Macaca fascicularis: one gene and its partners. The protein of the gene in region 6 interacts with the protein of the main gene of each other region in a pairwise test. Links are inferred from orthologs where the notes say so. Each region holds a gene or a part of one and is shown on either strand. Other genes may lie near its edges.

Region 1 (3,884 bases), on a different chromosome or scaffold from region 6:
TGGACCAACTGTCTCAAGTGACCAGACCTTTGGGCTGAGCAAGGGTCTGTGTGTACACTGCAGTTGGCCTGCTCTAGCTGCTGCATGGAGGCCACCTGCACACCCCCAGGCCTTGACAAGTCAGCCTTGCAGGGAAGGGTTAGGTGGCCTCTGGCCCTCCCCTAACTGCCTTTCCTTCCCCAGAGTTCCTGTCACCTCAGGGTCTGGGGCTCAGAAAGGGATGTGTAGCAGCATGTTTCAAGGTGAGGGCCTGTGTGCCGCCCCTTCCACCCTCCTGGTTGCAAACCCTGGGAGGTCAGCTAATTGGCAGTTTCACAAGGAAATGTCGCCTTGGGCTGGTGCAATGTCCAGTTGGCTTCAACCAACTCCTCTGCTGGGCTTAGGCCTGGGATGGACCCTGCACACGTGTCCAGGGGGTGAGCGTGGGGGCTGTATGTGGTGTACCCCATCCTTGGAGGGCACGGTCTCCCCAGGCCCAGGAACGTGGAGGGCACCCCCATCCAAGGACCCGTCCTGTCTTCAGCACCAGAATGAGTTGGGCCTCAGTGTTTTGGGGGCATAATTAGTCGTTTTGCCTTTTTTTTTTTTTTGAGACGGAGTCTTGCTCTGTCACCCAGGCTGGAGTATAGTGGCACGATCTTCACCTCCCGGGTTCACGCCATTCTCCTGCCTCAGCCTCCCAAGTAGCTGGGACTACGGGCGCCCGCCACCACACCTGGCTAATTTTTTGTATTTTTTAGTAGAGATGGGGTTTCACCGTGTTAGCCAGGGTGGTCTTGATCTGCTGACCTTGTGATCCGCCCGCCTCGGCCTCCCAGAGTGCTGGGATTACAGGCGTGAGCCACTGCGTCCAGCCCGTTTTGCCTTTTTATGCTGTGCCACACTAAATTGGCATCAAGACCCTTGATGTTGTGGGGGGAGGGGCCGTGCATGGTGGCTCACACCTATAATCCCAGCACTTTGGGAGGCTGAGGTGGCAGATCACCTGAAGTCAGGAGTTCAAGACCAGCCTGGCCAAGATGGTGAAACCTTATCTCTACTAAAAATACAAAAAATTAGCTGGGGGTGGTGGTGCATGCCTGTAATTCCAGCTACTTGGGAGGCTGAGGCAGAAGAATTGCTTGAACTCAGGAGGCAGAGGTTGCAGTGAGCTGAGATGGTGCCACTGCACTCCAGCCTGGGTGACAGATTGAGACACCATCTCAAATAAGTAAAAAAAAGTATGGAGGCCTGAGGACACACCTCTCCTGGCTTCCCCTGGACTCTGGGCCTGGGTCACAGACCAGGCACCTTCCACACCGGTGGCTCAGAAACTTTCAGGCGTTGCTTCTTTAAATCTGAGGACTGTGGGAGGCAGTTTTCTGCATCAAGAAAGCATCAGTTTCTGACCCGGCGCTGGTGTACTTGTCAGGAGGACTTACGGAGGGGTGAGGGAAGCCCTTTCTAAATATGTGGCTTTTAGGAGTGAAGGAGAGCTTGGTTAACACATACCGAGAGTTTTTTGTTTTTGATGAGTTTTTGTTTTTTTTTTTTTAATTTAAAAATTTTTTTTGAGACAGAGTTTCACTCTTGTTGCCCAGGCTGGAGTGCGATGGCCTGATCTCGGCTCACCACAATCTCCACCTCCTTGGTTCAAGCGCTTCTCCTGTCTTGGACTCCCAAGTAGCTCGGATCACAGGCATGCGCAACCACACCCGGCTAATTTTTTTGTATTTAGTAGAGATGGGGTTTTACCATATTGGTCAGGCTGGTCGTGAACTCCCGACCTCAGGTGATCCATCCGCCTTGGCCTCCCAGAGTGCTGGGATCTCAGGTGTGCACCACCAAGCCTGGCCTGTTGAGCTTATTTTTTAATAGTTTCAGATTTATAGCAAATTAAGAGCTCCCAATCCCCTAACCCCCAGGGGCTATTAACCTATTAACATCTCTCATGGGGCTGCATGGTAGGTTAGATGAGGCAACCTTCATGCCTTGTCATCACCTAAGGTTCCTGTTTCCAGCAGGTTCACTGAGTTGGCCTGGCCTCTTTATACTTTCCGGGGACTTTTTCCCTTGCGTGGAGAGTTGAGTTTAGGTTTAGGCTTTTTTTTTTTTGGAAACGGAGTTTGATTCTTCTTGCCCAGGTTGGAGTGCAATGGTGCGGTCTTGGCTCCACTGCAACCTCTGCCTCCTGGGTTCAAGCAATTCTCCTGCCTCGGCCTCCCAAGTAGCTGGGATTACAGGCATGAGCCACCACGCCCAACTAATTTTTTCATATTTTTATTAGAGATGGGGTTTCACCATGTTGGCCAGGCTAGTCTCGAACTCCTGACCTCAAGTGATCCACCTGCCTCGGCCTCCCAAAGTGTTGGGATTACAGGCGTGAGCCACTGCACCCAGCCAAGTTTAGGTTTTAAACAAAAAGGGGTAAAGGAAGAAACCAGAGAAGAATTGAGGCGCACTCGCTCGGACTCCCCCTTCCCTACAGGTCCCTTCCTCCCCAGCAGGGCAGCCTCTGCCTGTCCCAGCCTCTCGTGACCGGCACTGTCTGCCCTCTGTCCCCACCGGCCCCTCAGCACTCTCGAGTGGACCCTGAAGAGCTCTTCACCAAGCTTGACCGCATCGGCAAGGGCTCGTTTGGGGAGGTCTACAAGGGCATCGATAACCACACCAAGGAGGTGGTGGCCATCAAGATCATCGACCTGGAGGAGGCCGAGGATGAGATTGAGGACATCCAGCAGGAGATCACCGTCCTCAGCCAGTGCGACAGCCCCTACATCACCCGCTACTTTGGCTCCTACCTAAAGGTGCCTGTTGGGGGGAGGCGGCGGCGGCCCTGCTGGTGGTGTGCCCGGCCCTCTCTTCCATGTCAGAGGGACTGAGTGACATGCCAGAGGGTGCAAGGCGGCCTTGACAGTTCAGTGCATGCCCTCCAGGAAATTGCCCTGGGCAGGCAGGGTGCGAGCAGGGTCCACGAGGGTCATTCGGCTCTGAGTGGCCATTGGGACCCACTTGCCTGCCTGTGGTAATGCAGTGAGGGTGCTGCCAGGAGCACTCTGGGGCGCCCCTGCTGGCAGTGGTGAGGGCCTGTGAGGAGCAGGTTTCTGGTGGTGCCAGGGTCTGGGGTGTAGGGAACGCTGTGGCCATCCTGCCCAGGAAGATGATGGGTGTGTTGGGCCATGTGCTTGCCAGCCATGCCCTCTTCCCAGCCCTGTAGGACTGGCTCAGCAGCCTGGCTTTTGACGGGGTCTTGGTGAAGTAGACTTAGCCACTGTTCTGTGTACTCAGTCCGTCCTCTGAGCATCTGTAGCAGCAGTGTGGCAGGCGGGGAGATGGGCAAGGCCGAGGGAGCCCCTTCCTGTTTAGGGTTCTTGGCAGGGATGGGACCGGTGGGGCCTGGGCCCTGGCTGACTCCGGCCTGACTCCCACCCTGGAGCATGCCCTTCCTCTCACTGCCAAATGCTGATGGGTTTGTCTCCGGTCCCAGAGCACCAAGCTATGGATCATCATGGAGTACCTGGGCGGCGGCTCGGCACTGGACTTGGTGAGGCATAGGCCATGGCAGTGGGGGGTCATGCAGTGTCCGAGTCCCCTGCTCCTCAGACTCATGGGCTCCAGGGGCCACCTCTCGTTTGGTGTCATGGCACATTAGGTGTTAATTACGAATCGTCTAAAGCAAAAATGAACTGCCATCCGCACATCTGCCCAGTTGGTGCTGAAAGGGGTCCTGGCCTGTGGGAGTGGGCGGGGGCAGGCACGCTGGGAGATGGTTGGGAGCCTGTTTTTCTGTTACATGACAGTAAAGCGAAGCTGGTTTATATGCTTTAGACCACCCCACTCCCGTCTGAAAGTTGTGTTTGAGAAGTAAAGGAACATGAAGCCCCCGGCTATCTGCAGGGACAGCC
Region 2 (3,204 bases), about 33 Mb from region 6:
TCATCTAAATTTTCAGGAACCTCCCAGGCCACTTCTAACCGCTAGATGGCCAAGCTACAGGGTGATTATTTCCTTAGGCAAGCAAACATCCCAGCCCTCTAATACGGTATTTCCTGGGGCTGGAATATCAACAGGAAGTTATGTGAGGAAGAGCTCTGCCAAAACACTCATTCCAAGGAAGGGACTGGTAAAGTGACAAATTTGCCCAATCCTGTACAACATCCTGCATCCTCCACATCTGGCCCCTGTTGCACATCTCATCCATAGGCAGATCGCTCGCTGCTGACCCTATTCTTCTCTGGGCTCCTAGGACCTATAAATATGACTCTATATAAGAAAACCAGAGTCTGGGCACAGTTTGCTCATGCCTGTAATCCCAGCACTTTGGGAGGCCGAGGCGGGCGAATCACGAGGTCAGGAGTTCCAGACCAGCCTGGCCAACATGGTGAAACCCTGACTGTACTAAAAATACAAAAATTAGCCGGGCGCGATGGCGGGTGCCTATAATCCTAGCTACTCGGGAGGCTGAGGCAGGAAAATTGCTTGAACCCGGAAGGCGAAAGTTGCAGTGAGCCGAGATCGCTCAACTGCACTCCAGCCTGGGTGACAGAGCGAGACTCCATCTCTAGAGAAAATAAAGGAAAACCAGACAGATTAAAAAGTTGCACTTACAAAGCAGTTGGGGCATTTATTGGCATTTAAACAAGGGAGGAGATCCTGAACACTAGTCTCGCTCAGTTTATAAAAACTTAAGGCCAAACTCTCCATCATCTGTACACAGCTTAACCACGGCCAGGAGCAAGAATTGGAGTTAAACGAATTGAACCAGTCCAACTACAAGACTAGATAAAGGGAAACAGGGCGTAGGGATTTGCGGTTTTTCCTTTTAGATTACCAAGTTTCCAACACAAGAAGCCAACAATACCCCAGTGCAGCACCAACTTACTTCCCACTGCTTTCCAAGGCAGAGTCAATTAATAATCAGTAGTCCAAGTTCTAAGAACATTTCCTGGAAAACAAGGACGCATCTCCCGTGGCTCTATGCAAGGCCTGCCACTGATGAATCAAGTTCTTAAGAACCTACGACCATCTGACACCCTTGGGGAAAGCACCCTCATAGAATCTCCAGAATCAGGCCTCAGTTTTCCCATCTGTAAAAGACAGCCATGGAAAGTGGGAGATCCGCTAGGCTTCCAGATCGAAGTCATCGCGCTCCTCATTGTACTCCAGCACGTGCCGCTTGATCTTGGACGAGTCCACCCAAGTGACAAAGTCCTCCATGCTGCGCGTGACAAGGAAGGCGGGGTCGGTAACCACATCAGGGCCCACGCGTACGTGCCCTTGCTCCACAAAGGCTACGGCAGCCTGAAGGTGCTGCGCCATGCGCAGCTTGAGGAGCACGGTGGGAAGGCGGCGGCGGCAAAAGGACGAGGCCGTGACGAAGTCGCAGAGTTCTAGCGAACCGCGCGTGGGCACCAAGCCGAGAGCATACAGCTTGTCCAGCAGCGCGGCCGAAGCGCGCACGCGGAACTGGTCGCGTTCGGGCAGGTCGCGCAGGCGCCGCGCCAGTTCACGGACCGCACGGCTCAGCTGGTTGTAGCGCGTGTAGTCCTCACGCCGCTGCAGCCGGTAACGCCGCAGTACGCGCAGCTCGTGCAGGTTGTGGTCGGTGACCTCCCAGTTCAGGAAGTCCACCTGCTTCAGCAGTTTCTGCTCGTGGAACTTAAGCTTCCGCACCATGATGGCGGCAGCCGCAGCACCAGGACCCGAAGCAGATAGTGCGTTTCAGTACCCGCGCGATTTCCGCCGCGGCGCACCAAGACCTGGACGGTCTGGGACCCTGGGCCAATGAAAGAAAGGCTTAAAGTCACGCCCTCATTTTCCATTGGCCAGGGTGGGACCACGCCCAAGCACTGGGATCTCGCGTTTCTTTTCTGCGCGTTTGCATAGGGAGGGGGTAGAAGCATTGCGCGGGGGGGCGGGTCCCTAGGCGGCTACGCGGGGTTTTTAGTAGCCAAGACTGTATCCCTTTGTGCGGCAATCATTTCCTCCTAGACTTCTGTCCTTTGGGGACTTTCAGAGTCTCCCCCGCAAGAGCTGAAGAGGCCATTTCTGGGGAAGAAGGGTGACTGCGGCTTGTTGATTGGGTTTACTGTGCTAACTTCCACTGGGCTCTTGCCATGCCGTGGGGGAGCTTGCCGGAGCCGGCTGTCCTGGGACTGACCTGGTAGTCCCCGCCTCCCGCCAGCGTCAGGTCCTTCACCTGGCAAGCAGAGCGATCTCTCATTGTCACGTTGGGCTGGGTAGCACCGAACCCATGAAATCCCGATTGCCTGGCCGCTTCCTAAGCGCACATTATAATCGGGATCTATAAGGGAGCCGCCTGGACATCTGTATTATTAACTAAGGTGTCAGATGATTCATAAAACCCAGCAAGTTTGAGAAACTTGGACTATAAGTACAAGTCCAAACCCTTTAGTCTGTGCTCAAATGAATTATCCTGACATAAATTTCTGGCCACCAAGTATTGAGTTAACAAATGTAATGCTGTTTCGGCTAGTTGCAGCTGTAAGTTACATCTGGTGTAGCGCTGCAGACCTAACCCCTTTTTGCCCAGGCATTTAACTTCTCACTGATCATTTTTGTTTTGTATGCTTTTCATTGTCTTTTACAATACAATATTTCTGGGTGGGGCGCGGTGGCACACGCCTGTAATCCCAGCACTTTGGGAGGCTGAGGTGGGAGGATCATTTGAGGCCAGGAGTTCAAGACCAACCTAGGCAAAAAAAGAAAAGAAAAGAAAAGATAAAAGCGAGATCCTGCCTCTGTAAAAATTCTTTTTTTTTTTTTTTTTTTTTTTTTTGAGACGGAGTCTCGCTCTGTCACCCAGGGTGGAGTGCGGTGGCCGGATCTCAGCTCACTACGAGCTCCGCCTCCCGGGTTCACGCCATTCTCCTGCCTCAGCCTCCCGAGTAGCTGGGACTATAGGCGCCCGCCACCTCGCCCGGCTAGCTTTTTGTATTTTTTAGTAGAGACGGGGTTTCACCGTGTTAGCCAGGATGGTCTCGATCTCCTGACCTCGTGATCCGCCCGTCTCGGCCTCCCAAAGTGCTGGGATTACAGGCGTGAGCCACCGCGCCCGGCCAAAAATTCTTAAAGAATTAGCCAGGCATGGTGGTGTGTGCCTGTATTCCTGACTACCTG
Region 3 (4,476 bases), on a different chromosome or scaffold from region 6:
CTCTGCAAAGACAAGGTCATGCAATTGACTTGCCTGAAATTTGTTGATCAAAGAAGCAGTTCTTTCAGTACTGAACCATTTTCATAATAGATGTCTTAGGAGATACACTGCTTTTCAACAGAATGGAGTTTATCCTTTTAAGCACTGGCAGGAATATTCCTCTCTCTCAAGCAGCCCACTGGGCCAAGTTTGAAGAGAAATATTAAAGATTACCTTGGCCTTTCTATTGTCAGCTGTGGTTTCTTCAAATTCCTGGCCTAGCTTGAAGGAGATCTCTGTATTTTTAAAGGTGCTTTCAGTTCGTATAGTTATAATATCTCCTTTCTTGCTGATGATCACAGTGGGTTTGGCCAAATTTCCCAGTTTTCTGGTGGCTAACCCCACACCTGAAAATTAAGATAGTGTTAGAATTATGGTGACCAAGAGAGCATAGCCAAACAGGCTGTGGTGGCCACATCCTTTGCTCAGTGGTGCCCCAGGTGTGTCGATGGCAGGTAATATCACTTACTACTAAGTGTCTCCTCCCATGTTTCACTCCCAATGGAAATACATGCCCAGGACTCACACGTTTTAGGTTTTGTTGTTCCAAAAGTAATGTCTGCAGATTTTCTTTTCTTTTCTTTTTCTTTTTTTTTTAAGATGGAGTCTCACTCTGTGGCCCAGGTTGGAGTGCAGTGGTGCATCTCGGCTCACTGCAAGCTCTGCCTCCCGGGTTCACTCCATTCTCCTGCCTCAGCCTCCCGAGTAGCTGGGACTACAGGTGCCCGCCACCATGCCCTGCTAATTTTTTATATTTTTTAGAAGAGACAGGGTTTCACCGTGTTAGCCAGGATGATCTTGATCTCCTGACCTCGTGATCTGCCTGCCTCGGCCTCCCAAAGGGCCGGGATTACAGGTGTGAGCCACTGCACCTGGCCAATGTCTGCAGATTTTCAAGAGTTAAAGTTTCCAGCTGAAATAGCTAGTGCAAGTCATCTATTTTTATCACATCCAATCCTATTCCCCATTGAAAATTACTAATTATAGATTTGCATAAATCACTTTAGAGATTTTAGTTTGCATGTACAAATACTATAGATATATTTTTAAAATAAGACTATAGCATATACATATTGTTCCACGATATTTTCCCTCAATACCATATTATGGATATGGAGAAGTATTCCCCTCATATTTTTGATAGAATCTCACTTCTGAAATTTTGTGACTTCTCTATCTAGCTGGTAGGAAAACAACTATCCATCCACCTTTGAGATCTATACTATTATAAATGATCATAGAGAGATAAAATTTTTTTTAAAAAACTCTTCTACATTTCAAAAATGAAACACAATTAGACTCTTAAGTTTACTACCATTATTACCAAGACTATAAAATAGATGGAAAAAGGAAAACGTCAAATAGAAAAATATGAAAGAAAAACTAGTTTTCCAGGAAGCCTCAATGCTTGGATATACTTTTTCCAGTTAAAACGATCTCAAATTTTTATATACTGAATAAGAAGTTAAGAGTTATAGCCAATAAACTATAAACTATATTCTTTCTTCAAATTCTGATTAATCTTTTGTTATTTTATACAGTTTAGGACAATGTTTTTCAAGTTAAATCGTAATCTCTGGGACCGAGCCTGAGAATTTATATTTACCAAATCCCAAGGTGTTATTTTGCACACTAAACTGGAAAACAATGAAATTAGAGAATCCTTCACGGACACTTTCTTTTATTTGGCTTCTTCCTCAGCTGTAAAGTGAAGTCTTTAAATCTAACCGGTCTCACAGTATGAATTCATCCTAGTGTTCCAGGCAACAATGACATGACTTTGCTCATTTTATCTAAAATAGAACATTTTATACAAGCTTTCTGAACAGTTAAGTAAAGCTGTAGGCACTTTGACAAGCACAGCAACCTCAGGTCACTGGCATCACTCTTTGTTATATTCATATAGTTCTGAAAATTCCCAAAGACTCTTCATATCTATTGTGTTTATATCGATGGGACATACTCTAGAAATAGTATAAAATAAAGTTGTTGTAACTAATGACTCGGTTTTCCATCTCCATTCACTCCTCCAACTCCAGAAACGTCTGATGATAGTGAAATTGAGTTTGAGTTTACTGCCACAACTCCAGTTCTTTTTCTCTCAGTAACTTCCCTAGGCTATGAACATAGTATTTTAGGAAGTATTTTTGTTTTTCAAACTCTCTGTATCTACATGATTGTGTAATAAAGGACAACCTAGAGGTAGAGAGAAAAAACTGTTAGTTTAGCTAAAAATTAAAATTTTAAATTAAGGTTTTCTAGGATTTGCATTATATTCAATTCCTTATTTTATGAACACTTTAGTTGCTATGAACGTAGCTCTCAGAAAAGCCAGAAAATGGGTTGACTATGCTTTTAAGCTTTCTTTCCTCTGGATCTGCAACCAAAATTCTCTTGGTATGAAATTGCCCTTGAAATCAGTGGGAGTTTCATGCATTTAAGCAGCTCTCTCATTTAAGTTAAAGTCTATTAAAAGTTACCACAAATAAAATTCAAATAAATTGTCTGAATGACACAAAAAAGATTAATCCTAAAAGAGGAATTACTGCGGCCTGTGCAAACCCCCCCGTCTCCTGTTAAAGGTGTTAGATGAAAATGTCATGTAGCTTTCTCAAAAAGGAGCTTTTCAGCAGAACAACAAAAAGCATTTCTTACCCAGAGCTTTCATGTAATCGTCAAAGTTCTCACTCGAGACAAGTTTCCAGGTGCCCAGGAATTTGTTGCTCATCGTGATGGGTGAGAGCTCAACACAGTTCTAAGTGGGATTCAGGAGACTCAGATAAGATGCTGAGGCCTGAGAAGATTCTTTTCAAGGACGCACAAAGCATGTGACTCTTACAGAGAGCCAATGGGGAAAGGCAGTGTCGGGACTAAGCAATGAATGGCTCTTCAATGGCCAGCTGCCCGCCCAATAGGATAAAAGAAAACCCCACATAATACTCCCTTTTGTCTCCAAAAAAATTTATAAAATGAATAAGATTACTATTTGAATCTTCAAAAATTTTTTGATCGATCTTACATTTATAAGAAGGCTTAGGCCCTTCATGCTTTGGAAAAGACTGCATGAATTATGTGATCGTGAATGAATGTGTGTGTGTTTAGGCATGTCGGTCACTCTCAATCCTGAGTCTGCACAATTAAGAATTCTTATTGAAAGGGAAGAAAAAGAGGAAAATGTCTGTAAGTATTATGATAACAGTCACAAATATGTTGTGGGAGAGAAATGTAGGGGAGCAGTGTGAGGAAGTATTCATAGGTAAGAAGGCTTGGCATAGTTCACATATCCCAGGCAGGCAGAGTAGGCAGACAAAGAAGTCAGTCTATTGCAGCAGAGCACAGAAATTGTATTCATGTGATGAAACAAGAAGTAGCACTATAACATGTTCTTTGAGCACAACAAAGATTTTCAGCTAAAAATACTTAAAATCTGAACTAAGCAGGTTCCTGGATACTATAACCATTTGTGTTTAAGTCATTTAAAATGAATCTACAATTTTATAAAGAGGATTTCCTATAGAAAGAGTACTAATGTATATTCAGAACTCGCTATGGGCCAGACACTGTGCTAAGTGCTTAATACAGGTGATCTCATTTAATTATATCACTGACTCCAAGAGTTAGGAACTATTATTACATCCATTTTACCAATGATAAAAATGAGCCTGGGGACATTAGGTAAATTACTTCCAAAAGTTGAATAAGAAGAGGACGGGTCTGAACCCAACATTACTGCCAGTGCCTGGGTTCTGAACAATGATCTTAACCTGCTTCTATTATACTATACCATACATGCTACATGCACAGAGGCCCTGGCCAGAGATCACCTGATGCTGATAGCACCATGATTGGCTAGAAACACTCTTGCTCTTCTCAAAAATCAAGTGGGGTAAAAAAATCAAAAGATCCAGCCTACTATATTACACCAAAGCCCCAGTCTTTGGCCAAGGGGAACAAATGTAAATCCACTTAGAACGTAAGTGTTGCTCTTGAGAATCTCTAATTACTGCTATATCTTTCCTAGCAGGTTTTTTTTTTTTTTTTTTTTTTTTTTTAACCTTAGCATGAATTCTGACTGTGAAACAACTGATTTTACCAAGTTTTATACATTTGGTAAACAGGTTGGCACTGTTTACAACAACAACAACAAAAAACACAAAAATATGATGAATTTGGTCATAACAGGTAGAAACATTGGCAACAAGGGCTCAGGAAACCCAGTCCCATAGCTGTGACATAACTATTGCAGTTATGTAGTTAGAGTTCAAGCTGAACAAAACATGTGAAATCATACACAGTGAGCTGAAGTTTCATTTACATTCCCAGTGCCTGAATAGCTCAAGGTGGGAAAGAAATAGTGAATAGCAAAATTCCTCAACTAACCAACTAACCCAAATCTAAACCCAAGAGAGTGTAATTGGAGGGAGTACATTGTACTGG
Region 4 (4,583 bases), on a different chromosome or scaffold from region 6:
TGTAGTTCCCACTCCAAACGAGCTTTTTTGGCTTCCCAATTTGCAGGTAATTTTAGTCTTTTATCTTCTTCCACAACTTCCTGGTGATTTAATTTACGAGCTTCATTCTAAAACCGTAACACAAGAAGTCTGTCAGCTAAAACATGAAAATAAATCCAGATACATTTTGCCTTCTTTGAGGAGGGTCAGGCAGGACATATTAATAAGGTGACCCCATTTTATCCTAAAAGCAACAGCCAGCCATCATAGTATTTTAAGCCAGGGAATGGCCTAATAGGGTCTACATTTTTATGTAATCAAGAAAAATGTGTTGAGTTGCACTGGTTTGCTGTTCCAGAGCCCTGGGGGTTAAAATCAGCTTTGCCTCTATTGAGTTGTGTGGTCCCTTTTTATTGGATCAGAACAAGGTTTTGCAACATTGGGGACCATACTATAGTGGCACTTAAGTAGACTTTATTTGGCATTAATATTAAATCGGACAGGCACGGTGGCTCACGCCTGTAATCCTAGCACTTTGGGAGGCTGAGGCAGGTGGATCACCTGAGGTCAGGAGTTCAAGACCAGGCTAGCCAACATGGCGAAACCCCGTCTCTACTTAAAATTCAAAAATTAGCCAGGCATGGTGGCGCACACCTGTAATCCCAGCTACTCGGGAGGCTGAAGCAGGAGAATCACTTGAACCCAGGAGGCAGAGGTTGCAGTGAGCCAAGATTGCACCACCGCACTCCAGCCTGGGTGACAGAGCAAGACACCTCAAAAAACAAAATTACATCACATGATGTGAAAGACACTTTCTTTTTTTTTTTTTTTTTTGAGACAGAATCTCACTCTGTCACTCAAGCTGGAGTATACTGGAGCATCTCAGTTCATTTCAACTTTCGCCTCCAGGGTTCAAACAATTCTCCTGCCTCAGCCTCCCAAGTAGCTGGGATTACAAGCATGTGCCACAATGCCTGGCTTATTTTTTGTATTTTTAGTAGAAACAGGGTTTTGCAGTTTGGCCAGGCTGGTCTCGAACTCCTGGCCTCAAATGATCTGCCCGCCTCAGCCTCCCAATGTGCTGGGATTACAGGCATGCACCACCACACCGGGCCTCAATTATCTTTTAATCCTGATTCAAGAAAAATGCCTCAATTTGGGTTAGAGGATTTAATACCTATCTTAATGCCTCTAATGCTTTCCAAGTTCCCCTCCTTTTAAAAATATTTTCACAGTTTACATTGGCAAATGAAAAATGAAAGGAATTTGAAGTACCATTGAAGAGTCTTTTTTTTTTGAAGCTTGGGGTAGCGGGGAGAGGTGTCTATTTTTAAATAAACCTAATTGTATAAAACAAAATGAGTATATCATCTTAAGGAAAACTTAAGTTAGACATTTCTTAGGTCATAAGCTGGTGGCAGTTTGTCCATGAAGCCCTGCCTCCTAATTTCCAAACATGTGTTCCTTACACAATCACTCTAAATATTTAAGCATGTCCTTTTAATTGTTTATTAGATTAACTTTCCCTAGGCAAAGAGAGAGACTCCTCCCAACTACCATCCCTAGTATATTCTTGGCTCTGGAAAAGTCCTGCAATTAAAGACAACAAGAACACACGTATGGTCAACAAAGTTGAGTCTGTTGCATAGAAGAAGAGAGCAAACCACGGGGAACTGTGGGCATTTGAGTGAAAGGGCGTTAGCAGGGGCTCGTTCCAGGATTTGGGTTTGTATCAGGTGGCTGGGGTGAGGGTTAAGGATCTGGATTGAGTACTGTCAGAAAGCAGAGGCTTTCTACAATTAGGTATCTTAAATTTTTATATAGGAGGCAGAAGTAACGGAGACTAATGCTGTATTTGGTAATAACTGTCACTGGTGTTAGCCAGAATAAAGAAATACGTGGTCATTCTTGTGCTTCAAGAAGTCTTCTTTGTTTTGTCTCACTACAACAGTCAGAGTGATTTTGGGGTTTTGTGAACCCATGGCCTGTCAGGTCACTCCATGCTGAAATAGGGGCTGCTTTTCTCTTTCTCAGCTCCAACTGCAGCCAGCTATTTGCTGGACTCTTATCCCTAATACAAATTTTCTTTGAATTTGTTCCCTTTGCTTGGATTATCTTTCTCTAACTCCTTTAGTTGTCTGGCTTTCAAACAGTAGTTTAGGTGTCACCTATTACGAGGCACCCCCTGGAGACCCACAAACTGCATTCATCTCTCCTCCTCTGCACTTCCAGGGAACTACCACGCTGTAGACTTTCAAAGGTTTCCCATTATTTTTTTAATTTTCTTTTTATTCTTTTCCCCCAGAAGTCCTAGAGACAGATGATTATTTTCTCCCTTTTCAAACAGATTCTGATAGAAGATTATTTTTTAAATCAAGTGAACCAGGTCTCTTACTGACACAAGTTTCTTCCTGTCTCTAGCTCTACATATTTCCCTAGGTAAAATGAAGAATTTGTTAGAATCACAGAGCAGGGAGGTTGTTAGTAATGGAGACTCGCAAACCTAACCCAGATACATTAAATTGGATGTGGGTAGGAGGGGGGCTAGAGTGAACAGGTATATTTTCAAAAGTTCTCATAACGATCCCCATGTGCTGCCAGGGTTGAGTACCACCGAACAGAGCTTTCCTCTCAGATGATCCTGCTCTGTTGGTCTGTCAGACGCAGTGGTGTGGCTTCCTCGTCCCCTCTACAAAAGCGCAAAGGCTTGGCCAGGTGACGGATCTGAGCCGGCCTCCAAGACTACTCACCCGCAACAGGTGCAGCTCCCGGAATTTGCGCAGTCTCTGTTCGCGCTTCTGAGCGGCCAGCTCTGCCGCCGCAGTGAGGGACCCCTCTTCCGCGCTGTCCACCAGCACCTGCGGCAAAGAGAACTGGCTTCAGGCAGAGCCAGGTCGGCTTCTCCCAGGACGGCCCAGGCCGAGTCCCCGCCGGTCCCCACAGGCTGGGCCTAGGGCCTCCACGGCCGACTTGATCCCAGTGTCTGAGCCTCCTTGAAGCGAAACTAGACTTCGCCTCCACCTCTCTCCAGGCCGCTCCCCGGAACCCTCACCAACAAAACCCCCGGTGTAGAGTCGCTCGAACTCACCTCGGATGCAGCGACAGCCGCCATCACAACCTTTCTCTCTTCCCACTTCCGGCAACAACATACAGCACTTCCGTCAGCCTTCAGACAACCGGGCCGATGCGTACAAATGAGCTACCATAAGCCCCGCCCCTTCCGGGCGGCCTCCGGAAGTTGGGACCCTTTAGCTGTGAAACGTTTTGGATGGGCAGGGTCTCGCGCAGCCGCGAGAATCCGCGTGGGCAAGGACAGCGGGAGTTGAGTGGCCAAGAAAAGGGTTGGGAAGAGCTCAGAATCGGAGGACTAGAAAAAAATGACCAAAAGGAGTCTAATAGAAACTCCCCTACTCTGAACGCTGTTCCTGGAAACCGCCTTTTCAAAGAGTGAGAGAAATCTAACATGGCTCACTCCAACTTGCTTCTAGCCTCGCAGGGCGGCTGTCTTCGCTCATTCCTGGGCATAAACCAAGCTCACCATGGGAGAATTTATAGTTTAACTTTTAAGCAAGGATGAGCATAGTCCCTCCCTTAAACAGTCCCCCGCCTTGTTCGGGGGCTGAAACTGCCTTTATGAAATTAATGAAAGACCGGGAGGTTAGGTATATGAGGGGCGAATTCTGCTAAAATGTAGTAAACGATAACCAGCCATTGTTTCGGAGGACATCGGATGTGTAACTTCCCCAATTACTCCTGTAGGTAACGTCGTTATTGTAGAACCTAAGATTGGTCTTTTGAGGCATTTTTGAGACTTTCGCATTCTGGCAACTAAGTGACCCCACCTGGACTCGTGACTCATGACCCAACCGCTTCCTCTGCCCCACTCCTCCCCCAAGAGGCGGGCTCAGCTGTTGAGGAGTGTAGTCCACACCCCTATGATTGCATCTCCAACCAATCAGCAGCACCCATTCCCTGTTGCTCTGCCCACACCAAACCAGCTGAAAAACACTAACCTCTGGGCTGACCCTTCAGGAAAACTTACTTGAGTGGTAACCCTTCTTCCCTGAGGCCAGCGTCACATTAATACAACTCTATACTGCAGTAGCACTTCTCAGTGAATTGGTTTTGTCTGTAGTGGGCAGGAAGAACCTGTAGTGCCATTCATTCCCGTAAGTGGAAAGTTCTTTCCGTTTAGAGCTTAGCATGTTGTCACCTTCTCCAAGAAGCAGGTCTTGGCCAGGTGTGGTGGTTCATGGCTGCAATCCCAGCAAATTGCCGGGCCGAGGCGGGAGGATTGCTTGAGCCCAGGAGTTCAAGACCAGCCTGGACAACAAAGTGAGAATCAGTCTCTAAATTAAAAAATAATACAAATAAAAAGAATTTTTGTTTGTGTGTGTGTGTGGTTTTTGTTTGTTTGAGACGGAGTCTTGCCCTGTGACCCAGGCTGGAGTGCAATGGCACTGATCTCGGCTCACTGCAACCTCCGCCTCCCAGGTTCAGACAATTCTCCTGCCTCAGCTTCCCGAGTAGCTAGGATTGCGGGTGCCTGCCACCATGCCCAGCTACTTTTTGTATTTTTAGTAGAGACAGGGTTTCACCGTGTT
Region 5 (4,593 bases), on a different chromosome or scaffold from region 6:
CTACATTCTCAGAGGCCAGGCCTAGAAGACTCAGCTGCCTACTGGTCCTTTCTCTAGGTGCCAGCACCACACACATACACCCACACTTACAGAGAAGTCAAGCAAAAGCCAGAGTGGGCCGCTCCAGAGCCACTCCCACCAACTCTGAGATTCTGAGCACCCCATCTCCCCTCTCAACCAGGAGCCCCTCACACACTGCCAGGACTGCCTCAGTAGGCACAGGGGTGTCCACGGCTTTGACCCCACAAGTGTCAGATGCTCTTACCATCTGACCACTGAAGGGTATCCAGTTCTGGGCTAGATCCATATCAGTTGCCCTATTGCTGAACCAAACAGGGCCAGGGAGGGCCCCACCCAGGGGACACCCTTTCTGGATGGCACAGACCTGGGCACAGAGAACACCCTCAGGGCAGTACAGACCTAGCACTAGGCATCTTCAATGAAACAAGAAAATATAGGAGGTTGATAGTAGGACTATGGCTACAGACAGCTGCAAGGGTGGGGGGCAGTCAGCATGATCTGGTCATCAAAGTCAGGGTGGGTCTTTCCTTAGCCACAAGGCCTGGGAGCAGACAGCAGGCAGACAGCCCTCTGCAAGCACAGAGCCAGGCAGCCAAGCCCTCACTGAGACAGGCGCTGCTGCACCTCGCTGCCTGCTCCAAATGATGCAGAGATGCTTACTAGAGTGAGAGACGAACCAAAGGGTGCAGGATCACACGCAGTGCGGGCAGCAGCCCCAGTCTGAAGCCTGCACAGACCTGACCAAGGACGCCCCATACTCCTAAGGAGGCTCATGACATAGACAAGGAACGAGCAAATAGCAAACGATAGATACAGTCAAGCCCCCAGTTGTGGGATGCCAGCCAACAATGGTTGTGCCCAGATGTCAGACCCCCAGTGAGGGGGATCTAGATGTGGGGTCCTAAAAAGTGGAACTAGTCACAGAACAGCCTGAGCCTGCCTGGTAAAGGCACAGGCACCAGTCAGAGTGGCCAGTCCACAAAACAGTCCCACACACCCCACTCCATTCACACATGCTCCACATGCAGTCTTAGCACATGCACACGCTGACACGTGTGCACACACACCTCTTGCTGCACCCACACCATGCCCACTCCTTGTGACAGAGGACAGCATCCCTGGCACAGATATCTCAGATCCACCCCCACCCCCGGCCACCCCTCACCCCACCTTCCAAGCCGGCTGTCCCTGGGACTGAGGTTAAGAGGCACCACCACAGAGAGGATGCCAGAGGAGGTGGCCTCCTCTGAGGGGACCAGCAGCTTGGGCGAGAGGTGGCAAGACAGAGCCCAGCATCTATCCTGAGGCCAGGAAGCACACACTCACCTGGAGCTGCAGTGGAGGCCTGCAGGCTGGCCCGCTTCTTAAAGGGATATTTGGCCTTGGGCTTGCCAGAGCCAGATGGATAGGATGCCATGGCTGGGACCACGGCGGCGACAGCGGGGGAGTCTGAGCGGCACCGGCTGGGGCCTGGCTCTGCCACATCCAACCCCTTCCTCCGCCCCGCCCCCAGCGGGAGTGACTGATGCAGGAAGCAGCGGCTCCGCAGGCGGAAGAGGCCCCGGCCACGATTTCTCATGTTGTCTAGGCAACCTCGGGGAGTGGGGCCTCCATCTCTGCCCCCTATCCCTCCCCTCCCTCCTCAGTCCCAGGAGTGACGTGACTGATGGTGGCTGGGCTTGGCGGGGGGCGGGGGAGGGAGTGGGTAGAAAAGAAGATGGGGAAGGGCCAGCCCCCAGCTCTCCACTAACCCACCAAGAGCCCTCACCCCATTATGCCAGGGCTCCAGGGCAAAGAAGCCAAAGTCCAGGCTAGCTGGTCCTTCCAGCTAGTCTGGAAGAAAAAAGAATAACAAATAGGAATTCAGCAGCGAGTGAGTCCAAGCTCAAACACAGTCCTCCCGGGGCAGGGCTGGCATACTCCGTGAAAACCCAGCACCCACTTTCCTTCCACATCTGACCCTCAGCTCCGGGGGTAGCTCAGCTCTGGGAGGAGGGGGAAGAACCGAGAATCCCAGCCCAGGAGGGAGGGGCCTGTCTTGGGAAAATTCCACCGTCGCCAAATAGCTACCTCCTAGGAAGGCAGGAAGGCCAGGAGACCCCCTTGTCTGGGGGTCTGGGACAGAGACCCTAGCCTCTTCGGATTTTTCCTCTGGCTCTGCACACTCTGGCTCTGCTCCCCAGGCCCTCGTAGGAAGAGCTGACCGCCTTCCCTACGTCCTGCTGCTGTGCTGTGACTCCCACCCTCTTGTCACCCTGGCCACAGCACTTCTCTGTCCCAGAGACCCTCCCTCCAACACACGTACACACACTCACCTGAAGCCATGGTGTCCGAGTTCCGAGGGGAGGCTGCCCACGAGGGTCTGCACAGCAGAAAGCCCGGGTCCTGAGAGAGGGCAGGGTGGTCGGGCCCCAGACTCCGGCCAAGTCACTCCAAGGGCCCCTGCCCTGGCACTGAGATGGGGAAAGTAAGGCAGTCTTTCAAAATTGCCAGCTGGCCGGAGGTGGACTCCCGCAGATCTCGGCAGCCAGACTGGCCTCAAGGCGACCCCGGTGTCGCGACCACCCAACCCCGCAATCGCAATCAAGAGACGGGTAGGCCACGTGCTCCCAAGGGAGCGGGACCCGGAACTCGTCCAGGTTTCTCGCAACACTCCCTGGGCATTCAGGGTCGGACTCCCGCGGCCGGACTGTGGTGGAGTCACGCAACAGGTGCGATCCCACGAAAATCTCGCCGGCTCCGCGCCAGGCTCTGCGGCCCTTGGCCCCGCCCCCGCCTGGCCCCGCCTCCGCCTGCCGACCCCGCCTCGCCATTTTTTTCTCTTCCTGGGCGCCACGTGGGCAGCCGCCACACCGTGGTAGGGCTGGCCTGAGCTGACCCTTGATCTTGGGCCAGTTTCGTGCGTCAGCTTCCTCATCCGTAAGATGGGGTAATGACAGTACCTCACTCAAAGGGGTTACTGTGAAGATTAAACGTAAAGTCCCTTTACATAGTGCCTGGCACGAAGTCAGGGCCCAGTGAAAGGTAGCTGTTGTTATCGTCCCAGGATTCATTTTAAGCAGAAGTCCTGCCCCTGCAATCTCACCTGATCGTCTGTTTTCTTCCGGCCGGCATAGGTAGGAGGCTGTGCCCTGCAATTCTGGCTCCCCTTCCCACATTTCTGTATTTGGTGGTTAAGAGCTTTAACTCTAGCCGGAATGTCTGCGTTCAAATCCAGATTTCACCTACTTCCTGACTGATACTGGGCAAGTTACCTAACTTCTCTGTGCTTCTGTTTCTTCCGTAAAATGAGTGTAAGAGTACCTGCTTTATATGGTGGTTAAGATGAATGAGTTAATATAAGTTAACTGCTTAGAACTGTGCCTGGCCTGTAGTTAGCACTTTTTTATTATTACCATTGCTTTAGCCTTGGCCTTGGTTCTCTATTGACACTCACAGGTTGATTCACTTACAGCCGTTCTGGGGTCTGCAGACATCCTATCCAACAAGCATCCCCACTGCCAAGGGGTAGAAAATCCGACCTAAAGGGAACTTGTGGAGGGAAGTCCCTAAGACTTCACTGAATATAATTAAATGCATTAGCAGGAATTAATCTCTTCCCTATTTTCCCTCTTGTGGGAGGCCTTTGCCCCCCAAACCCAGTTGTTCTAATGCTGTTTGTCTGGCTCCTCCCAGTTCTCACCACCCCCACAGCAGAGTTCCTTCCCAAACTCTGCCTGCCTCTTCTCTCCCCACGCTGGATTCTGGACTTTGAACCCTGTGCTCCACCTGCATCTGGTGCCACTTCCATTGATCCCTGTCTACTGTTCCCTGAACAAACTTAAAAAAACTTGGCCTCTTCACCTCACACAGAATCCATAGAACTAAAAAGAGAACAGAGATAACCAGGTTTACCTATCAAAATAGCAAAGACTAAAAAACAAAAAAACAAACACTAATGCAGGTGGCAAGGGTATAGTTAGTGAGATGGGAGACACACACACACGTACGTGTGCACACACATTACTGGTGGCCTTGAACACTGATATAATCTCTCTGAAAGCCATCTGGTAATATATAATCAAAAGTTTCAAAAAGGTTCTTATTATTTGACCCAGTAATCAATTTTCTGGAGTTTTTCTAAAAAAAGCTGCCAGAAAAATATGTATGCAAAAAGTTGCTCAGCACCACAATGTGTATTGCGTAGGAAAGTTAGACACTTTAAAGGCCCAACAGTAGGGGAATGTTTATGGAAGATTCATACCATGAAATACAGCCATTAAAAATTGTTCTTGGAGAAATGTTTAATGATGTGGAAATGTTTACAATATAAAGTTAGGTAAAAGAATGGATGCAAAACACTATATACAGAATGGTCCTACTTATGTGATATACATGGGTAGAAAAACACACCAACAAGTTTACCAATGATTATCTGTAGTGGTGGAATTATGGGGTATATTTTATTTATTTGCATTTTGAAAATTATAATACATACCCATAACTTTTATAATCAAGGGACTAGAAATCAATAAAAATTGGTAAAAATCCATAATTGACTCCACAGTCCCCCCAACCCAGACTTCCCTGGGT
Region 6 (4,412 bases):
TACAAATGTGGTCCAGGTTGGAGCCAGTCTACAAACTGTGACCAGTCAGGGATAAGATAAGGACAGTGACTGAGAGTGTTTAGAAACTTTTATGGTAATTTGACATTTATTCAACATCCAAGCACATAATTTTATTAAAGTATCATTCCATGCAGATTGGAATTTTAAAAAAACAAACAAAAAAAAACCACCCATCTTTTAGTAGGACTAAAGTGGTGAGATCTCAAGAAGGCAATGATGATTCATGTGTATGTATGTGTATATATACACACATATATACACATATGTATTTATTTGAATATATGTATATACTTGAATATTTGTATATATTTCAAATAAATCCAAATTCTAATTTTTCATCTATGAGTGAAACTACTGTCCTGAGCATGTATAGAAAATCAGTTCTATGCTGCCTCCTTGTGGTATCTTACTTGCAGTGAGTTTTAGCAGCAAGTCCTAAGTGTATTTGAAAGAAAGGGGTTAGCAGATAAGAAAAATAAGATAATATTAACTATTCTTTTTGAAATAGTCCATTTTCCATGAATCTTTTAAAGTGCCGTCATACAATTCATCTCTTGTTTCCTCATCACAAATCTCAAAGGTAGGCCAGGCACGGTGGCTCATGCCTGTAATCCCTACACTTTGGGAGGTCAAGGTAGGCAGATCACTTGAGGTCAGGAGTTCGAGACTAGCCTGCCCAACACGGTGAAACCCCGTCTCAACTAAAAATACAAAAATTAGCCAGGCATGGTGGCGGGTGCCTGTAATTCCAGCTACTCGAGAGGCTGAGGCAGGAGGACTGCTCGAACCGCATAGGCAGAGGATGCGGTGAGCCGAGACTGTGCCACTGCACTTCAGCCTGAGTGACAGAGTGAGACTTTGCCTCAAAAAAAAAAAATCTCAAAGGTATGTGAGGAGGAGAGAGTTTATCACTGTAGGTACATGCAGCAGAAGATACCTATATTCTTTCCAAACACCTATATATGTAGACTGAGAAATTAAAACTATTGACTATGAAAATCAAATAAGGCAATGAATATGCCATTTTAAAAGAATCTTACTCCCATATTAAGGATACACAGCTCTAGAAAAAACTAAGCATAGAGCATACGTGGTCACAGCCAACATGTTTACTTTCATTAGTTTAATAATAAAGGAATATTTAAAACGCATAAATTCTTTGTTCTAGCAATTCCACTTCTGGGAATTTTTTCTACTGATATACATACATACACAGAATTACGTAATTCATCACAACACTGTTTGCAGTAATTCTAAGTTGGAAACAGCTTAAATGTCCACATAGAGTATGGTTAAATTATGTTTATATCTAGTCTATTGAATACCATGCAGTCATTACAAAGAACGGAACAACTTTATACTAGCTGCTAAGAGTTGATTTCTAAGCTCTATTGTTAATTTATTTAAAGGAAGGTCCAGAACAGTGTTTATGGTATCTTACCATTTGTGTAAAAAGAAGCTGACACATACAAGATAAATGTTTATGAATGTATATATGTACAGAATGTATGTGGAATAATGCAAAAGGAACTGGGGGAGACAAAAATGAGAAAGTGGATGGAAGGATAAACTTAACACACTTAACTTTGATATCTTTTGAATTTTATACTATCTGCATAGGTTACTGATTAAATATAAAAAATAATATAAAAAGGGTATTATGTAGTATAACAGAATAGGTGTACCTTAGACATCAGATAGACCTTGATTTAAATTCTAGCTCCCCTGCTTTTTTTTAAATCTTAACCTGAGCTTCTGAGCCTGCTTGCTCATCTGTCAGATGGCCATCAAGTATGTGAAAACACCCAGCACATAAAAAGTGCTTAAAAAATTATCAGAAAAGAAACCACCAGGGTGAACTTCAGATTGAACCAATATTTATAAGACCTGCCTACTCCGCGCCAGGAAATGCACTTGGCAGTTCGGTCTTCACAACAAGCCTGTGAAGTAAAAAACGGTAACCTCATTGGACAGACGAAGAAAACAAATCTCCTGGCATGCGTGTAAAAGGTGGAAAGAAAATTAGAGGATTCCTAAGGTGTAACTCGGCAGCCCAAGGATTCCAGGAAAGTGAAGCCCACCTGTGGAGACGGCAGTGGAAGCTGAGAGAAGACTGTGGTCAGAGTCGTGGCTTCCCTTGACACTGTCACAGCTGCCTCATCTGGGGGGTGGCCGAAGAGAAGGCAGGTGCCAATACATTAGCGCTGCACGGACTTGGAAGATACGCGTTCCCTTACCGACCCAGACTTCTCAAAAACACCTCCCGAATGTCGATGTTAGAATTCTAGTTTACCCTCTCAGGTGCTGAGGTGGGTAAGGTATCTCACAGAAAGGATGCAGCAGGGGAGGGCAGTCCCCTCCCTGGGGGAGAGCGAGAGGGAAAGGGGTCGGGACGCTGAAGGAACTGAGGCAAGGGGAGCCGGGACAGGAGGCGCACTCACTGAGTCTTCTCCAGAACATCTCTCGATTAAACTCCTCGGTGGTCTCCTGGGCTTCGCCGACTTGCGGGTGTGGCGTGTGGGGGCCGAATGGTGGCGAGTGGAAAAGCTAAGGTAAGCGGACCTACCTCCCTCGCCCGAGCCTGGCTCCCCGCCGCCGCCGCCCCCGCCCGCCCTCTCCGCGACCCCGAGCCCGGCCTCTCCCCGATCCCGGCCTCTCCCCGAGCCCGCCCCTGCCGTCGCGCGTTCCAACTCCGTCAGCTCACCCCGCACTCGAGGCAGGAGCAACCGCAGCTCCTCCGCCAAGTGCCGGAGCTGCTGCAAAGGTGGAGCCAGGGTGGGGGCTGCGGCTGCAGGTGCAGTTGCGCTCGCCATCTCAGTCGCTTGCCGAAGGCCGCAAACACAAGCCTCCGCCACCACTGCCGGAGCCGCACTGCGACAGCCGCTCCACTTCCGGGCCACAGCGTCAATGGCTCGTTTCCGGCAACAAGCCGTCCAGCCCCGCCCCAGAGCCCCGCCCCCGCCCCCAGAGGTCCAGCACCACCCATCCCATTATGAGACCAGGCCTGGCCCCGCCTCCTCCCGCCCCGCCCTGTCCCCAGAGGTCCAGCACCAACCATCCCAGAGGCCAGGACAGGCCACGCCTTCTCTCGCCCCTTAAGCGAGGCCACACGAGCAAGGCTCAGGCTCACGGTCTTTCTTATTCATCATTCATTCATTTATTTGATTAGTTGAAAACACTTCCGACTAAGGAAGCAGAGAGCCCACAATCCTGCGGGAAAACAGGCCTGGGAACTAATCTCAGCCGTGGTCAGGGTCGGGCCCAGATCCTCAAAGGTTCCCTGCCCTTGAAATTGCACCTTTGACAGCTGCTGAATTTCAAGCACAGCGGTAGGTGCTTTACATGGGGTAACCCCTAAAAAACACACTGGGCCTCAGACACTCCCGTACACACACCCAACCCCTACCCTGTGGGTGTCCTAGATAAGGGTTTTCTCTTCACAAAGATAAATCAACTCTTTGCCTCCTTGAGGAGGGAAGGAATAAAGGCATTATTTTTGAGACTTTTCTGCAGTCCATTCTGCAGGTATCAGTAGTGGGTAATCCCTCCAACATCCAGGAGTCCAAACGAGCAGCAGCTCCCTAAAGCTCACGCACCAATACTGGCCCTCCGCCTGCTACTGGGGTAGAGGCCTAGGCTATAGACACAGAGGCTGGGCTTCTGCCCAGCTGCCAGTGGTGAGACATGGCCTTCAGGAGCTCAGGTGGCTTTTTAACTGCACCATGAAGATTCCAAGCTTGGCGGAGTTCAGTGTCCACACACAACGAATGAGAACAGGTGTCAGCAGTGTCAACCAGGTCCGCAAAGGGGAGAATAAAAAAGCTAGGGTGCCGTATGTCGCATAAAGAAAGTAGCAGGAATAAATCTGCCAGATGTACAGCAGTAGCATAAGTAGGTGAACAGGCATAATTTTCAAGTATTTTCTTTGATGGAGATGAGACCTGAAGTTGTGACCAAAGCACCGCTGCAGCAAGCTCCAACACATGTAAGCCATCAAGGGGATGTTAAAAAATGCCAGCTGGAAAAGAACAGAGCCATAGCTTACTCCCAAGTCCTTGGAAGAGTTTGGTCTTAATAATGCATCATTAGTGGATCCTAAGAATATGCTGCTTTCTGTCTTGGGGTTAGCTAATTTACTTCAAGCACAGTTGCTTATAACACAACAGCTGACTTGTGGCTAGTTGTGTATTTGCCCATGTCCTTTTATTCATCTTAGAGGCGGGTATCATTTAATTTATGTTGAAGTCCCAACTTGTAGTACAGTATCATATACACAGTTAATACTCAGTGGTGTTAAGCTGGAATTGAACTGAGTAAATGTATACACACACATACAACAACCCCTCTTTTTTGGTGGAGTGAGGGGAGCGCTTGGCTGTCAGTATTTTTTT
Region 7 (3,000 bases), on a different chromosome or scaffold from region 6:
GGTGGGCGGATCACCTGAGGTCAGGAGTTCGAGTCCAGCCTGGCCAAAATGGTGAAACTCCATCTCTACTAACAATACAAAAAAAAAAAAAAAAAAAAAAAAAATCTGGGCGCGGTGGTGGGCACCTGTGATCCCAGCTACTTGGGAAGCTGAGGCAGGAGAATCGCTTGAACCCGGGAACTGGAGGATGCAGTGAGCCAAGACTGCACCGTTGGCGCTCCAGCCTGGGCAACAAGAACGAAACTCCACCTCAATAAAGAAAAAACAAAAACCAAAAATAAAAATTACCTGGGTGTAGTGGTGCGCACCTGTAGTCCCGGCTACTCGGTCGCCCCGTCTCTACTAAAAATACAAAAATGGCCGGGTGTGGTGATGCATGTCTTTATTCCCAGCTACTCGGGAGGCTGAAGCAGGAGAATCGCTTGAACCCGAGAGGCGGAAGTTGCAGTGAGCCGAGATTGCGTCATTGCACTCCAGCCTGGGTGACAAGAGCAAAACTCCGTATCAAAAAAAAAAAAAAAAAAAAAGTTAGCCAGGCCTCGTGGGGCGCACCTGTAGTCCCAGCTACTGGAGGGGCTGAGGGAGGATAATCACTTGAACCCGGGCAGGGAGCCGAGATCGCACCACTGCACTCCAGCCTGGGCGACAGAGCAAGACCTTGTCTCACAGACAAACCAAAGACGGAAACAGATACAGCCATTTCAAAGACGACTGAAAAACCTTTTTATTCACCAGAGCTCAATACTCAGGGTCCCAGCCCTGTGCCAAAAACTGAACAACTTAAAATCTGACTGGGGTCCTTCTTTTCTTTGCCCCTAAAATAAAAGCTAGGCCGTTGCCTTTCCCATCCGGGTACTCAAACCCCTGTCTTATCGGCGGTTCCTCGACTTAAAAGTTGGAGGATGAAAAATACAGGAGGAAAAAAAAATATTCTTTAGTCAACTATCACGATTTGGGGGGTCGGATGGGAGGTAGTGGAAAGATGTGCTTCTTGCTGGGAAAAAGGACCCATCGGTGATTTGGGGATGGGGGCACGTGCCGAGTGCAATGGGCTGAACAAGGGGAAGAACAACCAGGGGGCATTGAAAGGTGTCAGCTCACCCCATGACTCTCCATCCGCAGGTGAGCCTATGAAGACACCGTGCCCTCCAGTGACACGGTGCTCTCCAGCGTCCCACTCAGCTCCTGGCGGATGGGTGCTGAGGTCAGGGAAGGAATGAACCGGTGTGGTCCACGATGACACCGTGGTTCTACAGAAGGGTGAAGGTGGAGAAGGCTGGTGTTAAGTGGACATCCCATCTTGAAGTTCTCGGGTTGGCACTTCTCAGCCAGCCTTCTTCAGTGTCTCCTAAGGGCTGGCTTGGGACAGCACCGTGGAATCCTGGAGGTTCAAAAATCCAAGAACTCCACAAGGAACGGAGAAGTTGAAGGGGCAGGGCTCCTGTCACCAGCAGGCCCCACGAGAACAAAAGATCCATGAACCGGGGCCCAGAGGGCGCTACAAGGCCATGCAGGAAGGGTTCCCGCGCACCAAGGACCCTGGGACGCCCACAGGCCAGAGCTCCCAGAGCTGACAGGTCCAAGGGGGCGGGGCTGGCCTGGCTCCCAGGAGTCTCCACTGTTTCAGGATCCAGCCAAGGTGGAGTTCTGGGGGCCAGAAATTCCAAAGGGCTGGGTGACTGGAGGAGAGAGTTTAGGGACTTGGGTGGGACAGACCAGGAGGGTCAGGGGTGCGGGTGGTGGACATCTCACGGTCCTCAGCGCTTGACCCTGCGTCCGGCCGAGTTGCGCCCGCTGCGGCGGTAGAGGGACTGCTGGCCACCGTTGAGCGGGCAGTACTTGAGCGTGTGGGCCTGGTCACCGGTGGCACCGCACACGGGACACACGTAGTGCCTCAGGATGGGACACACCACCACGCCGTCTGGTGTCTTCAGCTGGTGTGAGGAGTAGACGTGGCGGGACTCCCCGTTGTGCTTGCAGAAGTTGCACAGGGTGCCCAGGCCCCCGTTGGCCCCTGATCCTCCCAGCCCCTGATCCTGCCCCAACGGGGGCCCAGGACTTGGCTCCTCAGTCTCTTGGGTCTCCAGCCTTTGCCCCCGATTCGCGATCAGCGCCCACACCACTTGGCTCAGGTTGAAATAGTCCTTCCACATGTCAAAGGGTGGCAGCTGCATGGCACCAAAACAGGGGTGGTGGGCCACTGGAGAGGGGCTGGGGCTGGGGGCCCGTAGGCAAGGGCAGCAGGCGTTTCCCAGAGCAGAAGGGAGCTGCACCCCCTTTTATAATGCCCAGAGACTCTTCTAAGCAAAGGTGGAGCTTAGGATTTAAAGGGCCCACTCCCTGCCCATAACCCCTATCTGACTTTAATTCTTCACAGAGATCTGGAAGGAGATCATTCCCCTGGTCTCTGGTCCCTGCTCTGCTGCCAAGGTGCTCTGTGTCCTCTGGGAAGACAGTTCCACTCTCTGTGCCTCAGTTTCCCTATCTGTTCAAAGAAAGCCCATGTCTGCAAATATCCCCCACCCCTAGGCTGGAGGGGCTACACCCTTCCTAGACTTCAGAGTTACTGCTGATCATCATAGCAACCAGGCTGGGCGCGGTGCCTCACACCTGCACTCTGGGCACTTTGGGAGGCCGAGGCAGGAGGATCGCTTGAGCCCAAGACCTCTAGACCAGCGTGGGCAAAATAGCGAGACCTTGTCTCTACAAAAATAAACAGACAAAAATAATAATAACAACATGACCCGATTTATTTTATTTATTTACTTGAGACAGTGTCTCGCTATGTCACCCAGGCTGGAGTGCAATGCGTGATCTCTGCTCACTGCAACTTCAAGCGATTCTTCTGCCTCAGCCTCCTGAGTAACTGGGATTACAGGCGCCCACCACCAAGCCCGGCTAATTTTTTTGTATTTTTAGTAGAGACAGGGTTTCACCATATTGGCCAGGCTGGTCTGGAACTCCTGACCTCAGGTGATCCACTTGTCTCTGCCTCCCAAA

Evidence for each region.
Region 1: the proteins of CCNDBP1 (region 6) and STK25 interact in binary tests that used the Homo sapiens proteins (3 or more experiments, as listed by UniProt). The two-hybrid records come from large-scale screens. The link is inferred for Macaca fascicularis from reciprocal best matches to the Homo sapiens genes CCNDBP1 and STK25.
Region 2: the proteins of CCNDBP1 (region 6) and IMP3 interact in binary tests that used the Homo sapiens proteins (3 or more experiments, as listed by UniProt). The two-hybrid records come from large-scale screens. The link is inferred for Macaca fascicularis from reciprocal best matches to the Homo sapiens genes CCNDBP1 and IMP3.
Region 3: the proteins of CCNDBP1 (region 6) and PMP2 interact in binary tests that used the Homo sapiens proteins (3 or more experiments, as listed by UniProt). The two-hybrid records come from large-scale screens. The link is inferred for Macaca fascicularis from reciprocal best matches to the Homo sapiens genes CCNDBP1 and PMP2.
Region 4: the proteins of CCNDBP1 (region 6) and SYF2 interact in binary tests that used the Homo sapiens proteins (3 or more experiments, as listed by UniProt). The link is inferred for Macaca fascicularis from reciprocal best matches to the Homo sapiens genes CCNDBP1 and SYF2.
Region 5: the proteins of CCNDBP1 (region 6) and AMPD2 interact in binary tests that used the Homo sapiens proteins (3 or more experiments, as listed by UniProt). The two-hybrid records come from large-scale screens. The link is inferred for Macaca fascicularis from reciprocal best matches to the Homo sapiens genes CCNDBP1 and AMPD2.
Region 7: the proteins of CCNDBP1 (region 6) and NANOS2 interact in binary tests that used the Homo sapiens proteins (3 or more experiments, as listed by UniProt). The two-hybrid records come from large-scale screens. The link is inferred for Macaca fascicularis from reciprocal best matches to the Homo sapiens genes CCNDBP1 and NANOS2.

What each region holds. Positions count from the first base shown.
Region 1 is NC_088386.1:137,451,417-137,455,300, reverse strand, and holds part of STK25 (serine/threonine-protein kinase 25), read left to right. Parts: intron 1-183; exon of another isoform or gene 184-242; intron 243-2,467; exon of another isoform or gene 2,468-2,555; coding exon 2,556-2,786; intron 2,787-3,466; coding exon 3,467-3,523; intron 3,524-3,884. UniProt on the Homo sapiens protein: Oxidant stress-activated serine/threonine kinase that may play a role in the response to environmental stress.
Region 2 is NC_088381.1:52,864,553-52,867,756, forward strand, and holds IMP3 (U3 small nucleolar ribonucleoprotein protein IMP3), read right to left. Parts: upstream 1,774-3,204; 5' UTR 1,741-1,773; coding exon 1,186-1,740; 3' UTR 663-1,185; downstream 1-662. UniProt on the Homo sapiens protein: Component of the 60-80S U3 small nucleolar ribonucleoprotein (U3 snoRNP). Required for the early cleavages during pre-18S ribosomal RNA processing. Part of the small subunit (SSU) processome, first precursor of the small eukaryotic ribosomal subunit.
Region 3 is NC_088382.1:91,241,840-91,246,315, forward strand, and holds the start of PMP2 (myelin P2 protein), read right to left. Parts: upstream 2,821-4,476; 5' UTR 2,768-2,820; coding exon 2,695-2,767; intron 387-2,694; coding exon 214-386; intron 3-213; coding exon 1-2.
Region 4 is NC_088375.1:209,858,920-209,863,502, reverse strand, and holds the start of SYF2 (pre-mRNA-splicing factor SYF2), read right to left. Parts: upstream 3,129-4,583; 5' UTR 3,092-3,128; coding exon 3,068-3,091; intron 2,838-3,067; coding exon 2,730-2,837; intron 108-2,729; coding exon 1-107. UniProt on the Homo sapiens protein: Involved in pre-mRNA splicing as component of the spliceosome.
Region 5 is NC_088375.1:124,719,292-124,723,884, forward strand, and holds the start of AMPD2 (AMP deaminase 2), read right to left. Parts: upstream 3,082-4,593; 5' UTR 2,939-3,081; coding exon 2,337-2,938; intron 1,855-2,336; exon of another isoform or gene 1,601-1,854; coding exon of another isoform or gene 1,348-1,600; intron 1-1,347. UniProt on the Homo sapiens protein: AMP deaminase plays a critical role in energy metabolism. Catalyzes the deamination of AMP to IMP and plays an important role in the purine nucleotide cycle.
Region 6 is NC_088381.1:19,779,729-19,784,140, reverse strand, and holds the start of CCNDBP1 (cyclin-D1-binding protein 1), read right to left. Parts: upstream 2,835-4,412; coding exon 2,463-2,834; intron 2,183-2,462; coding exon of another isoform or gene 2,103-2,182; intron 1-2,102. Other genes in the region: TMEM62 (transmembrane protein 62), read right to left, coding at 3,713-4,039. UniProt on the Homo sapiens protein: May negatively regulate cell cycle progression. May act at least in part via inhibition of the cyclin-D1/CDK4 complex, thereby preventing phosphorylation of RB1 and blocking E2F-dependent transcription.
Region 7 is NC_088393.1:53,998,484-54,001,483, forward strand, and holds the end of NANOS2 (nanos homolog 2), read right to left. Parts: intron 2,169-3,000; coding exon 1,758-2,168; 3' UTR 700-1,757; downstream 1-699. UniProt on the Homo sapiens protein: Plays a key role in the sexual differentiation of germ cells by promoting the male fate but suppressing the female fate. Represses the female fate pathways by suppressing meiosis, which in turn results in the promotion of the male fate.